Oreochromis niloticus: one gene and its partner. The protein of the gene in region 1 purifies or fractionates together with the protein of each later gene. This does not show direct contact. Links are inferred from orthologs where the notes say so. Each region holds a gene or a part of one and is shown on either strand. Other genes may lie near its edges.

Region 1 (7,042 bases):
CTGCAGCGCATCATTGGCAATGTCTGAGATAAACTTCTGAGATGCGAGGGAGATCAGACGAATTCTATGCATGGAAGAAAATAATTAATACCTTTTTCCCTTGATGTTTACAGCCCACCTGTATCCTTATTTTGAAAAACACCACACACATAAACCTCAGATTTTCTATGATCTTGTTCAGAGTGATCACAAAGCTGACATTAACGAGTCTTACAAGGTTAGAGATGTTGCATTTTGGTTAAAAGGTTAAAGCCAGTTTGTTTTAAGCAAATCTAAATCAGCCAACACTCCCTGTAACATCAGAAAGCACGGTGCAACCTAACTAATACAGCATTAAGATAAGAAATGCTGTATACCATTGGGAAATTCTTTAAATTATGACAATATAGTCATTTATTTGTGACTTCAACATGTTCCCATTGCCAGATTACATTAATTTCTGACTCATTCAGTGCCTTGAACTAAGGTTTTTATTGGTGAACTCATATTATATAAAGGCTTTTAAGTCAGCTGTTAAGTAAATTGGTGGCTATCAATCAAACCTCTGAACGTACCAACTATGAGCAGCCTTATGATTTGTGCTGTAATGTACTCCTCCATGTGTGCACACTGACAGATACAAAGCTGTTCCTAGTATACAATTTCTCAGTCTACCTAAAGGACACATGCACAGGTGGAGGTTTTTTACTGACATTACATTAGACATTACATTACACTGACATTAGAGCAGAATCGAGTGCATCTCACCCTCACATTTGCCTCTGATGACATTTTTTTTATCACTTAGATCCATGCATCCCTGCAGATGCCAAAAGATCTGAATACTACACTGCATGTACTCACATCCTTGGATCAGAAGCCTCAAAACCAGCCCGGTTGAGGTAGTAACCTGTGACTGCATCAGGAATCTGGTGGGAAAAAAACAAAAACAAAGAATAACTACTAATGTATATGTCACTAATATTATTAGTGCACATGTACCAATCAAGGACTGATTAAGAAACATTTCTGTCAAAAATGTGTGAAAGTATGATGTAGCGGGGCTAACTGACTTACCGTGGGAGTGTACTCTTCCAGCTGCATGAGGAAATCAGCCAGTGGCGTGGTGGAAACAGCAGGCTTCACATCTCCATTAGTGATGCCACCAGGAACATAGACTCCATTGGAAACAGATGTGTCTGCAGACGGTGTCACCACAGCTGATGAGGATGAAGCTATAAAAGACACATCAAGCAATGTCTGAGATAAACTTCTGAGATGCGAGGGAGATCAGACGAATTCTATGCATGGAAAAAAGAAAATAATTAATGCCATCTGTCTTGTCAGTCCAAAATGTGAACATTGGTATCATCAAAAGAGTGTAGCTGTGCATCCGCACCTAAAGGATAAGTTGTGGCTTTTGCTGCTTGGTTATTTGGCCAGTGGTGTTGAGGATTTTGGTAAAGTTGATGAAATTATAAACACACTTGAATAGGGTTAGATTTTGATATCCACCACAAAATACCATCTGGAAACAGTTTCATTTTTCAGCATGACAATGATGCCAAACACACTGCTAATGCATTTAAAAAAAAAAAAAAAAAAAAAAAACCTGGAAAGAAAAAATATACAATTAAGCACTATCAGTCATGGATCAGGATCCCAAAGACCAGACTTCAACTTTACTGAAACAGTCTTGGACCATCTTCACAGACAACAGAGCAAAAGGCAGCCAACATCCAAAGAAGCTTTAGATGTAATTCAAGAAGCCTGGAGAACTATTGCTAAAGAGTACTTAGAGAAGTAGTCTCCAATTTTTACATGAAAATTAAATCCATTTTAAGGATGGGGCCTAAGGGAACATCTTCCACCATCACTAATTCCCCAACTCTCTCTAAACAGTACTCATGGCCATTAATCAATGATCATGACAATTTGTATATTAGTAATCAGGAAACTGACCTAACAGTTAATCAGTTGCGGGACCCCACAGTCAGCTGAAACTGAAGAGGTCACTTGCATGAGTGACACAACATACCTCAACAGTCAGATAAATAGAATCAACTTTCTGTGACTACTTAAAGAACCTACAAGAAAGCTTGCCTGAGAGGATTCAAGGCCTTTTAAATAATAAAGGTGGTCATATCAAATATTCACTTTATTTTCAAGCTTGTTAGAATTGCACAAACTCTGTTTTTGCCTTATATACCAACATTTTTCAATGCACTGCACCCATTTCCAATTTTCCCTTGCAAAATATAAAGAAATCAGGGATGGCTTGAGACTTTTGCAAAGTACTGTACAAACAATCTAAAAAATTGCTACAATGGTTAAGTTAGTGCTACAGGCTTAACCTGAAACGTGGTACTTGGTAGGTTTTGTAATTAATATGTTTAAATCACTTTAAAGTGTTAGACGGCAATCTAACACTTTAAAGTGTTAGATTGCCGTCTAAAACCTACCTTAATGCATTACACTTTGATGCATTAAGGTAGGTTTCGCTGATGGTGTTTAGGTTAGTACGCGTTTCTCTCAGTCAGGCTTGGTATTGTTGTCAATAGTCAATGTACATCGTGGAAAGTTTCGACTTCCAGTGCGAGATGAAATCAGCAAATGCTCTCAGAATAATAACAAAGACAATAACAAAGTCACGTTACGTTACCATTACTCGTGACCGACGGGATGCTGCTCACGTTGGTTGTCGTATTATCGTTGGCAATGCAATTACTTGCCGTTGACGATGTGGTAGAAGGCACTCCTGTTGTTACAGACTGATTTACGTTGTCCATATTCATGCTGGCGTTAGCTAACGAGCTAACCGTGGTTAACTAGCACCGAAATATGCAAAACACCACAAATCCGCGATTTATAGCTGTAAGACAAGTATTCTACAAAATACTGTTTTAGTATAAGTCTACCCTTTCATTCAAAGAAATTAATTATCAAAACTGAAAAACTATAACTCGTAGCAGAAGTGTTTCTAAGACCTTTGCAGTAAAACGCTGAGCCACTACTGTTAGATCACGTCATGTGACATAGAGGCGTTCTCTTCTTCTATGTTGACTGCACACCGCCGCCTACGCCCCCTGCCGTAGCGGAGACTGTAGGCAATACATTAATACACTTTCTTTATATTTAAAGAATTTAATTCAGATTTGAATTTCACTAACTCACTGACCTGCATTGGACTCTTTTCAGAAGTTTTTACAGCCTTGCCAAGAGTAAATAGACGTCAACACATAATGACAGCAGCGATAAACAGCAAAATGACAACCTAAAGTCAATAAAGATGAACAGCAGCCATAGATGTTTTGTTGTTTGTTTGCAAAGTGCGATCTATTGAGATCTAGCGGTTAGATTGTACACACCATAGCTTTATAAACAGAGATTCACCGCTTCTCTTGTGAGAAGTGGCAGTTTACGAGGTGCACTGAATGCAGCAGAGCGATCTCGTGCACACTGCAGGGGGCGTTAAGGGATTGTCGGACATTTTCTCGGTTGATATTCTGGTTCGAAGAAGTGAGTCAGTCTTTCACTAGAGTGGACTGTCTGCTGGGCTCTGGACAAATTGTAGTCCTGTATTCATCTGACCAAAGCGGGAGACGGACGTTTGTGACAGTTGTATGGGACAAAACAGGTACTGTCAGGCTTTATAAACGTACAAGTACAATTCACCACAAACGCCGATTAACGACTTTCACAAGCTTCCTCTTATTCCCTGTTCAGTAATCACTCAGGGCTTGAATTGTTAGTTTAGTCCACTTTTAAATGATTGACAATTTTGTGCCTATCTCTGTGAGTTTAACGTGTTTACATATCGACGTATTAAGGGAAGTATAATGCATCTGTGGAGGACTGCTCAGGACTGCTCAACCTGTAATCTCACGATTATTTATTCTCTTGGGTTTTGTGGCATTGTAACTACAAGCTTTAATTTGTGTCAAAGTTCACAGGCTGGCAAAATGACTGCTCCTGTCCTTGTGATCGTGGTGGGAGGAGGATGTCGGGGTGAAATCTACTCCCAGTATGCGTCTATTCATCCTCAACGAATGAAGGTTAGAAGAGGCTTGTGTTTCTGAGGGAAATATTTGGCAAAAGCATGTCTTCGGAAATGTCGAAAGGAAATGGATGAAAAGTGAAATTACTCCCCTTACCCTTCTTTGCTCAAGTGATTGATGTAACCTGTTCCTACCGATGTCACGTAGTTCGTTGTAATGTTTAACAGGGCGTACCTTGATTTATTTACTTTGACCCGCTCAGGTTGTTGCAGTGGCTGATCCACGGAAATTTGCAAGGAGCAAACTTCAAAAACAACACAAAATCGAAGAGGAAAACGTATTTGAAGGTGAGAGAGAAAAAGTATTAAACATTTATAATTATCTGCCCTGTCCTTACTGAATCCTCTTTTATCCAGACTGGCAGGCTGTAGTTGAAAGAGACAAGTTTGCAGACGCTGTGTTAATTTGCACCCCAGATCGCCTCCATAAGGTAAACACTGTCTGCAGCAACTATTTTTGGTTTAAATTACTTTGAAATGTTCTTTCTGTAATTATTACAGTGATCGTATTTATGCTTCCTAGGAACCTGCTGTGGCCTTTGCAAAGAAGGGATACCATGTTCTTCTGGAGAAACCAATGGCAGTGAGTGTTTATGGGTGTTACTGATGAACTGATTTTGCAGTAATGAGTAATCTCTGATTTGCACCAAAAGTTTTATTGTCTGAAGTTTGGACACACAGAATGCTGTGAAAATTTAGCTTCCTTTTAAAAATACTTTTTAACTTATATTATTTAGAAAAATGGCCCATTGAACCTCTTTCAGACCATTTTTTTAGCTTTCTAAAATCTGAGGCAGTGTTCTAACAAGATTTTCAACATCAAACTAAGAGATTTTCTTAGAGTACCTTCTGGAAATTTGTTGTATTTGGACAGGACAGTCTAAAATGTAATGTTAAAAGTAATCTGTGTTGTCTTTTACACTGCTGTGAATTATTCTTTAGAAATGATCATAATTGATGCAATGATCATAATTTGTGGCAATGTGAACTTTATTATTAGTGTGTGCTCAAATATGGGACTTTACAGGACACCTTTAACTGACTGATACTTAGACGTTTTTTTTATGTATCTGTTCAAAATTACAGATGGCAAGAAAGACCAGTGAAAATTTCAGGCTTTTATCTTGAATAGTGTTTTAAATTTTCATGTTCAAAAAGGTGTTCAATGTACAAAAAAAAGACTTCTGAAAGTGGGTCGACAGATCATTTATTCAAAGAAAGGACATCTTGAAAAGCATTTGATACATGAAGCTAAAATTTTACAGCAATCGTTCTACGTGTCCAAACTTTAAAGCTTTAAAATCTGCTAATTTGAGCTAGAATGACCCAACAGTTGTTTTAGTTGCTTTCACGATTCACTATTCTGAGTAAAAGCTTCAACAAAATCACACACCCTCCGTATTTTACATCAAACTGAAGCACAGCGTCTCTCTTTAATGTCCCGACATGACTTCAGACAACTGCAGAAGACTGCACGGCGATTGTGGAGGCTTGCATTCAGAGCGGCGTGATGCTGTCCGTGGGTCATGTTCTCCGGTACGATCCAGTCATCCACAAGATAAAAGTGAGCTTTGTCTTGTGCACTTACTTTATCCAGCTGTGACAGTTTTCTTCAGCACGTAGTGGAATCTACTTGGGGGTTCAAACACTTAAACTTCATCTGCCTAAAATCTGTAGGAACGCTTCCTCATTTGAAACAGCCACACATTTACAGAATCAGCAGGATTGAGGAAAAATAAGCAAACAGAGCTCTCTTTTGTGTTTGTGAAAGTGCAAAAAAAATCCCTCAAAAACAGCATTTTAATAAACAGTGTTGAAGCTGTTTCGACTTGATGAAGTCAAAACTACAATTTTCTCATACTTGGGAAAGTGGTAAAGAAAATGTACATAATCTGTATGAGGGTTTTGCCGTTTTTTATTAATAAGAATAAATTATGTTTTACAGGAGCTCATAGACGCTGGAGTCATAGGTGATGTGATCCATATTCAGCACCTGGAACCGGTGAGCAGGCAGATACGATAGAAACATAATAATTACTATTATTATTGTTAACCCAGTGAATTTAACATTGATATGTTGATTTTTCTTTTGTTGTTAATATCATATTAGAACATAACACAACGGTCTGTTTGAAATAATTTCATAATTAACATATTCATTAAGAAAGTCATAATTTGAAAGCATTTGCACATAGTTGTGGCCTGTGGACAAATTTGCAGCAGTGTATGTTTTTGTTATGTTTTGGGTTTACGGGTTTTTTAAGTGTTATTCAATTCAAGTTTCTGCAGCATGGTTAAAAAGAGAATCGATCTCTTTCTTCCAGGTTGGGTTTTATCACTTTGCTCATTCGTTTGTTAGAGGGAACTGGAGAAACGAAGCAGAGAGCTCTTTTGCTCTTCTGGCTAAATCTTGCCATGACATTGACCTCATACATCACTGGGCTGGAGGACGCAGGTAGATCATTAGACAGTGTTCAGTGATTAAACTCCAGGCTTAGTGTTCAATAGTACGATTTCTTTTCTCCTTTCTTTTGGCCTAAAACAGCTAGAAAACTACATGTTTACCCCAATTTTGTTGGACTAGAGGTAAATGGGGGTGTTTTTTGTGAAGTTTGACTATTTACTCTGGCAATTTGTTCTTGGCAGGTGTGTGAAAGTGTCGTCATTTGGATCAGTCAGCCACTTCAATAAAGAAAACAAGGTATGTTGTCTGTTCAGTCATGAAATGAAGGTAATCAGTAGCCATGGCGGGTAGAAATCTCTGTACTAAGCCTGAATATAAAATGTGACGTTGCTAGTTTTGTGTCAGCCAGCAGGGGCTGCAGATCGCTGCCTTAACTGTTCAGTAGAAAAAGACTGTCCGTACTCAGCATGCAAAATCTACTTGGACAGTGTGAAGAAGGTAAACATTTTACCACTTTACTTTCACCATTTATGTACTTTTTTTTTTTTGTTTTTACACACTTCTTATAAATAATTTAGGTGTGTTGTATGTTTGTGTACTAG
Region 2 (7,807 bases), on another chromosome or scaffold:
TTTGAGCCGTGGGTTAGGTTGAAGAGGTTTCTTCCAATATTTTTTTCACCACAGAAACTGTGGTTTCCTCTATCCATCCAGTAATTTGAGAATGCTTTCCCTCTCCTTCAGTGCTTTCCAGGCCTGATCTTTCTCCTTCTTAGTTGGGGTACGTTTCTTCTGCCTGGCTGCCATGATTCGCCGAAATGCCTCCATCACCTCATTGTCAGACACCCTGACTCTCTGCCTTAACTCCTGTTTGCGCATCTCCTCTTTTGCCAACCTGGGAAAAAACAGCAAATCCAGAGTTTCATGTGATCAAAGATCTCTAACAGATGTACAGTTTCACTTAGGTGGCAAACAGAACCACTGCTGCTCTCTGTCCTCACCGTAGCAGCTCCTGCTTTCTGGCTCGGTTGTGAGCGCTCAGGGCTTTGAGTTCTGCTTGTCTCTTCTGCAGCTCTGCAAGGACCTCATCCTCAGAGTCTCCTCCCTGGCCAGGTCGCTCCTCGGAATCCAGCAACCCCTGGGCTACCAGCTCCTCTTTGATTCGAGCCTCCAGGGAACGCGTATGAGGAACGCTAAAGATGGCAAAGATCGTAAGAAATATGCAGATGCAGAGCGGAAAACACCAGTAAAAGAACCAACGAGTGTCATACATTTAAAATGTTACCATCTTAAATCTAGAACCAATTCTTCCCTTTAAATATAATGGACAGGAATAAACATCCACGTTTGTGTGTGCATGCACAGCTGCATGAAAGCAGACAATAAATTGAGGTACTTTGAAGAATTAGTTGCCGACCTGCCAAAACATCCTAAAAAAGATTGAATGCAGTTTTTCTTTTGTTTCATGCTGAGGATACCGAGGTCTGTGTGGATGAGGAGATTGTGTTTAAAAATGGCTGCTATTTCAGGAGGTCCTCTCATGTAATATATCAAAAATGTATTTGATGCTGACATTATACCTAAAAGCTTTTCCTTGGCTTCGAGGTGAAGTCCCAGCACCATCGTTAGCATCCTTTCCTGAAATGTCCGGTATAGGGGAATCCTCCATGGGGGATATAATGTTCTCCTGGAAGAAACCATGCTCATGTATTTATATGTATATTATTATTTGTATTTTTTAAAACGCAATGATGCATTATTACAAGCTTTATCATGGCAAAAGCTGGTCACAAAATGATGAGTCTGACCTCTACAAGAGCCTGCAGCAGACGCTGTGTAAGAGGACCAAAGGGACAACCGTCTTCTGGAGATTCGTGTTGGGATTCTGACTTTTTCAGCAGCGAGTCCACATCTACAGCAGGTGAAGATAAAAGTTAGTGTTAAGGTGGAGTTACTAGTTCATGCACAGTCATAAGTAGGCGCAGGTGAGCCTTCCCCTCACCTTTTGCGTCCAGTTCAGAAAGCGGCCCTCCCATGACGCTTTTCTTTTTGTCGTTGGCTCGTGCTCCTTCCCTCTGCTCCTCCAGCAGATCCTCCTGAGCCCACCGCTGAGAGTAGTGTTTTCCCAATGCTGGAATCTACCATTAACACAGATCAGCCCCAAACCTCAAAACACTCTTATTCACTGCATTGGATACAGTTATTTGTAACATAACATTGGGTACATGGCTCTTTATGTCATACCTTGAAGTAGTCTGCTTCATCCTCTGGTGGTTTAAGAAGCTCCTCTAACAATCGTATTTCTTCATTTGTAATATCTGCACAGTATGGCTCCACTGAGGCCCAGAATCTTAAAAACAGAAATATTACAAGGTAATATAAGAATAAAGTGTTTTTCTTGCTAAAACACACATCTGAGAAGGACTTAAAAATTAGAAGGAAAAAAAGAAACATTAAAGAGAAAATAAAACTAAGCAGATATAATTTGTATGTTGTTGCAGACCTGTTGGGCGCATCATTTTTAGGGTTGCGGGGAATGTCTTGAGGGTCATCTGTAAATTCATACTCTTGTACTTTTGGCTGCAGGTTTTTGGTTTTGGGTCTGCCGGGACCTTGGCCTGGCCCATGACCTCCTTTGCCGTCCAATTTCTGCTTCTTTGGTTTGTGGCGAGATGAGGCAGCGGGGTCTGGGTCTTTCCCCAGCTTCAGAAAGCGTTTATCTCCCTTCTTATCTTGCCAGTCTGTAAGGATCTGAGAAAATTATGATAGCCTTTAATATACAAGGCTGCATCTAGATGCTTAGAGATGAAAACCTTATGGTTAAAAGAAAAGTGACATGAAAGAAGAGAGGTCACCAGCTTGTTCCTACCTGTCTCTGCTCTTCCAATGCTCGTAGGCGGCGGGTAGCTGAGGACAGCAGTGTCTCCAGCTCCAACTGCAGGGTATCCAGCTCTTCGATGCCGATGCCATCATCCTCTGAGCGGCCCAGCACAGCAGTGTAGCGGGGGCATACCTTGACATGCTCCACGGGCTTAAAGTCGTAGTATTTCAGTGGGGGGCAGTCCTTCAGCTCACTCATGATGTATTGCAGCAAAGACCTGACAGTGATTTTACTGGCATAGGACAAAGTATTCATTAGATTATCAGACTGACATACAATGTGAGTCCAGCTCTGTGCCTGTAGCTCTCACACACAAATTCAGAAACACTTACGTACGGCCGCACGTACAATCAGGACTGCTTTAAAGAGCGCAGGCTCGTTGGGCCCGAAATGCTGGAGAATACGTTTAAATTCTAACAAGGGTTTCTTTTATATTCATGATATGCGCACAGACGCTTTAAATGTGGGCGTTTTAAACCCACGCCACACAAATATAGCGCACAAATTATAATGTGTATAATGTTTTAGAGCAGCGCTAGTTACCTTCACTGAATGGCGTCCATGATGGGTGAAACCATTGTGGTAAGAGGGGTGTGTGCTAAAATTATTCACCTAAAATGATGTCCCATTTTATATATAATGACGATTCTGGGGAAAAAATGAGTTAGTTAAATTTTTTAAAAAACCTAACCAGGCATTTTAAGTTGTAAAAGCAATTTAAAAAGTGATAGGTCTGAGAATACAGAGTCTGGAGACTTGGCGCTTCATAGAGCCTGTTGAGTAGTCTATCACAATGGTATCATCGGATGATACCAAACCATTTTGTGTCTAGGCGTATTAAAAAAAATATTTGCTGCCAAGCTTTTAATTTGGAAGTTAGACAGTATAGTTTGTGTACGTTAATCTTGATAATTGACATCTAACTATCAAAACCATATAAGGTAAAAATAAAAACTCGTGAGACAACAGCCGTTGTCCCCTCTTCATAGTGCAGAATGGGAACACCCTAGGGTGTGCTCGTTTTGATTAAAAATACACTCCACCTGGGCGGAGAAATAAACGCGAACCGTGACATTTGCGCTGGGTGGGTAAAAACTATTCATTAGACTAAGACTTGCATCAAAACGAACACACCATAGATTTTCTTGACTATGTAGGATTTACGGAAGAGTCGTCCCAGGCGTGGCTGAGGAACTTCCGTCTTTTACAGGTCAAAAATGGTAAGTCTCCAGCACAATACTCAGCTTTATATTTAATTATTTAGCCAATTACCCCAACTAACTACTGCCACATTTACCTTAAGATTAGCTAGCTAGCTGTGTGTTCCTTGTAGACGTGGTTTCTGGTTGGCTGCAGCAAAATGAGATTACGGGCATCCTTGATACGGTTTGCAGAAACAGATTGACTGAGCTGTCTTTTCCTCTCGTTTCCTTTTCTGCTCGTTTCTGTGACCACCACAGTTTGTCCTTAAACTGTGGAAAAACTGGTATAAACAGTAAATAATTTGGATGAGCTGCAGTGTCGATCACCTGAAGGCATCACATCCTCTTCTGCATTCATATCGCAGACAGATCTACACGTAGCTACGTAGCATTAGTAGATACTTGTTCATTCTGCCTGTGATAACAGATAGCTGTCAAGTGAGACTTGCACACGGATTATTGTCATGCGTAACCTTAAATACCAGTCCCTGCTGGGCGATTTACCTTTATTCAACTGGAAGGATCTCATTGCATGTGCCCGAATCCTCCCAGGTATTGACCTTTTTATTACTTTTCTCCTCAGACAGCGACTCTGCGCCCCTACTTAAACGCTGTGAGGGCCACCTTGCAGGCAGCCCTATGTCTGGAGAACTTCTCCTCTCAGGTGGTGGAGCGCCATAACAAGCCAGAGGTGGAGGTCAGGTATGTTTAGCAGCACTCAGTTGAGTCTCACTGGTTTGTCCCCTGCTGCTTCCCACCCTGTGCTTCCTCATGTTTCTCCTGCCCTAAAGATGTGTGTAGTATGATCAGCTGCTGGCAGACGAGTTCAGTCATGTGCAAACTTGCATAAGAAAATCAAGGAGGGAAGAAAAATGGCTACAAGCAAGGGCAAGGCTTTAAAGTTGGACTGAAGGGACTTGCCTCAGCTTGTTCGCAGGTGTCCTTCCCGTTCAGTGTTGCGGGGTCTCGAGCATAACGTTGAGTTTCACTGTGTTTAGAAGGACTGTTTTTGCTGTTGTTACAGGAGCAGTAAGGAGCTGCTGCTTCAGCCGGTGGTGATCAGCCGTAATGACAAGGAGAAGGTTCTCATCGAGGGATCCATCAACTCCGTCAGAGTCAGTATTGCTGTCAAGCAGGTCAGTAGAGCTAGCATGGTTTTAACTTTTATTGTGGTTATGACTTTCCAGAATATTCTAACACTCTTTAAAAACTACTGATCGACTGCAGGCCGATGAGATCGAGAAGATCCTTTGCCACAAGTTTATGCGCTTCATGATGATGAGAGCAGAGAACTTCTTCATTCTGCGGAGGAAGCCAGTAGAGGTAAGAGACAGCGAGTGACGAAAGAGAAATCAGTACTTATTAACAGTATCAGAGGAAGAATACCACGTAGAAAACGAGGAAGTGTGGGAGCTTTTTAAATGAGTCATAAAGCTCTTCATGCATGCATGTTTTAGATACATCATACAGACAGTAAACACCTCAATAGAGAAGATCCAGAAGAGGGTTGGTGCAGCAGGGGAGGATGTTAGGGATGGGGGGGAAGTTGGAGCAGATGATCCGCTGTGTTGACCCCTAAAGGGAGCAAGCAAAAGAAGGAAACAATAATAAATATCTCAGTAATTACACTAGCTTTAATGCAGTAACACAAATGGTGTCTTTTCTTTTTTCCACTCTTATTTTAGGGATATGATATTAGCTTCTTGATTACCAACTTCCACACGGAGCAGATGTACAAACACAAGTTGGTGGACTTTGTCATCCACTTCATGGAGGAGATCGACAAGGAGATCAGTGAGATGAAACTTTCAGTTAACGCCAGGGCCCGTATCGTTGCCGAAGAATTCCTCAAGAATGTAAGTAACTTGTTCTCTCCCTGCAGCGGCTCCGCTTTTATTATTGCCTCGTGTTAATTTGATTCTATTGTCTTTACAGTTCTGATGGAAGCGTTAGTGTTTGCCCCGTGCCACCCTGGGAATGTTCCAAGGGCCACTCAGCACAAGAGTGGAGAGTTAAAGGAGTAAGCAGCCGACCCGAGAGGAGAGGAACGTGACCAATCTGGCTTTGATACCCTTTGATTACCCTTTACACCCGAGTGTCTTCCTGTACTCATGAATATCAATGACTGTACATAATGAAATATTTACAGTTTCATTTTCAGCCACTTAGAACAAATCCCCAAACAAAGGCGGGTCCTTAAAGTATTAATCAAGTTGATAACCATGAGTACAGGATCACTGAGGCTGTGCTGTTCCAAATAAAACTCACCAGAATTTTGTATTTTTTTGTCTGTGTGTTCTGTTGCTGTCGTTTTAAATTTGTCTCCAAATTTTCTCTGTTCAGGACATACTTGTTTGTGGAAGTGTTAAGTCACACGTAGAAAGAGCTCACTGTAAAGAAACTGCCATCAGTCATGCAAGAAGATACGGAAATATAATAAAACTCAGTTGTTTATACCCGTTTGTGTTTGAAAGCTGACGTTTTTGCTGCGCTGTTGCTGTTCCTATAAATGGATTTGCTCTGTTTCAGAGGAAGTTGTTCTTAGCCTGCCCTTTAACCACATTTTGCCTTATGCGTAGCTGCTGTGCGCCGTTTCAGCCCCCAGGAAGGGGAAGTGCAGGCAGGGTGTGAATCGTTGCGTCTGACGGTATTTGTTCACATTCACAACCTAATCCGAATGTGTTTCTGTCCTGGCTTGAAGAGGATGCAGCCAAATTAACTTTACAATGATGGCAAGATAGCTTTGCAACTTCCCAAGTTTCCATTGTGATACCATGGTTCATGCGTTTGACTGTGCATAAGTGTTAAATCACCCCATATTTATATTTTGCTAAGAAAGTAGGAAATGCAGCGATTAATTGGAAGGTATAAACGCACATAGAAATACTTTTTTTAAAGGCAGAACAGCTTGTAAGTCAACATTTGATTTGATCACCATTATTCTTAATCACAGCCTGATGTCTTTTAGGTAAGCTCTCTTGTCATTTCTTTAATGAGTCTTTAGAAATAGTTCTGCAGGCTTCTTGAAGGACATTCAAAGATGATCCCAAACTGCTCGAATAATGTTGATAATCAGATCATTTCCAGATGGTATTTCCTGGTTGATCAAAATCTGATTAATCTGTTTAAAATCCCATCAATTTTAACAAGATCTCTAAAACCACTGGATGAAATGCAACCCTACACCATGACAGACCCTCCACCGTGTTTTACAGATGGCTGTAGGCACTCACTGTTGGACCTCTCCTGAAGACCTCTGTACATATTGATGATTTGACGTTTTTGATTTGGCTCCCTCACTCCGAGACCTGTTGCCACTGATTTTCAGTCCAGTCCTTGTGTAATTACTCGCCCAGTTTCCTTCAATTTTGTAAGCACACACTGCACAGCATGTTGGCCACACAGAAAGGCCCCGTCCAGATGATGGAGTCAACCTTAGGACCTTGCTGTGAGGCAACAGTGCTAACCACTGTGCCGCCCACAAATAATCCCATTATCAAGAAATAACCACAACACGAACCAGTACTGCACTAAACCCTCATAAAGAAACCCATCACAAAAGGTATGCAGTCACAAAAACCTCAAGTGAGAAGACAGATCGGAGTGGTTGGCTTAAAAAAATAACATCTTTATTATTGTGTAGTTGGGATGTACATTTTTTTAAAATCTTGACCCAAAACACCAACTTCAAGCTAATATTGTGGGGTTTTTTTTCCTGTTTTGCATGTTTAATGCTCTGATGTGTTCTTCAAAGAAACGAGTGACGAAAGCATGTGAGTGTATTTTCACTGAAGGCCCGTGTGTGGAATCATCATTTACATAAAACATCAGTTTCAGCTGACACTGTACAAGCAGATACTGTACACCACATAGCTAAGGAAAGCTATTACACCAGCCAGCCCTACAAAATGAAATGGCTACTTGTTTACCATTAAAAATTATTGACCCAGTCCTTTAATCTATCACTGAATCACCACTTTAAAAATAGTAAGCTGTTGTCCGAGTAGGTTTGCGGCCTACAAATTGCACATTATCACTGAAGACAGCTTCACATCCGATGATGATTGCACGTTACGGTTGCATATCAAAAACATGGAGCGGAAAAAAAAAAAAAAAAAAATCACAGGATTAATACTTCAAGACACATCACAGTAACTTTCAGTGTTAGTGCTACTGCTGCGCAAAATCAACACAATGAAACCACACTGAGTACAGTAACAGGCAGACAGGAATCTGCTGCGTGAGCCAAGTGTTTAACTCCCCGCTGTGCAAGACAATACTTTGATTCATAAATAATTTGGACCAGCGATGCCGAGGGCCCCGCTGAACACCGAGGCCCGGACACTCGCAAGTTCCT

What was found.
Region 2: the proteins of taf10 (region 1) and tada3l purify together in Homo sapiens (affinity purification with mass spectrometry; 5 studies listed by BioGRID and IntAct, counting the BioPlex papers as one, with this or other methods). This does not show direct contact. The link is inferred for Oreochromis niloticus from reciprocal best matches to the Homo sapiens genes TAF10 and TADA3.

What each region holds. Positions count from the first base shown.
Region 1 is NC_031984.2:24,229,755-24,236,796, forward strand, and holds the start of taf10 (transcription initiation factor TFIID subunit 10), read right to left. Parts: upstream 3,030-7,042; 5' UTR 2,775-3,029; coding exon 2,642-2,774; intron 1,215-2,641; coding exon 1,057-1,214; intron 909-1,056; coding exon 844-908; intron 65-843; coding exon 1-64. Other genes in the region: uncharacterized protein zgc:154075, read left to right, coding at 3,603-3,616, 3,926-4,034, 4,240-4,324, 4,394-4,467, 4,560-4,619, 5,493-5,600, 5,982-6,038, 6,361-6,491 and 2 more. UniProt on the Homo sapiens protein: The TFIID basal transcription factor complex plays a major role in the initiation of RNA polymerase II (Pol II)-dependent transcription.
Region 2 is NC_031970.2:30,393,611-30,401,417, reverse strand, and holds the start of tada3l (transcriptional adapter 3), read right to left. Parts: upstream 3,032-7,807; 5' UTR 2,792-3,031; intron 2,782-2,791; exon of another isoform or gene 2,581-2,781; intron 2,481-2,580; 5' UTR 2,447-2,480; coding exon 2,237-2,446; intron 2,119-2,236; coding exon 1,871-2,118; intron 1,718-1,870; coding exon 1,612-1,717; intron 1,506-1,611; coding exon 1,370-1,505; intron 1,280-1,369; coding exon 1,176-1,279; intron 1,055-1,175; coding exon 948-1,054; intron 561-947; coding exon 369-560; intron 263-368; coding exon 70-262; 3' UTR 1-69. Other genes in the region: actin-related protein 2/3 complex subunit 4, read left to right, coding at 3,466-3,468, 4,034-4,152, 4,475-4,586, 4,678-4,773, 5,136-5,306, 5,386-5,391. UniProt on the Homo sapiens protein: Functions as a component of the PCAF complex. The PCAF complex is capable of efficiently acetylating histones in a nucleosomal context. The PCAF complex could be considered as the human version of the yeast SAGA complex.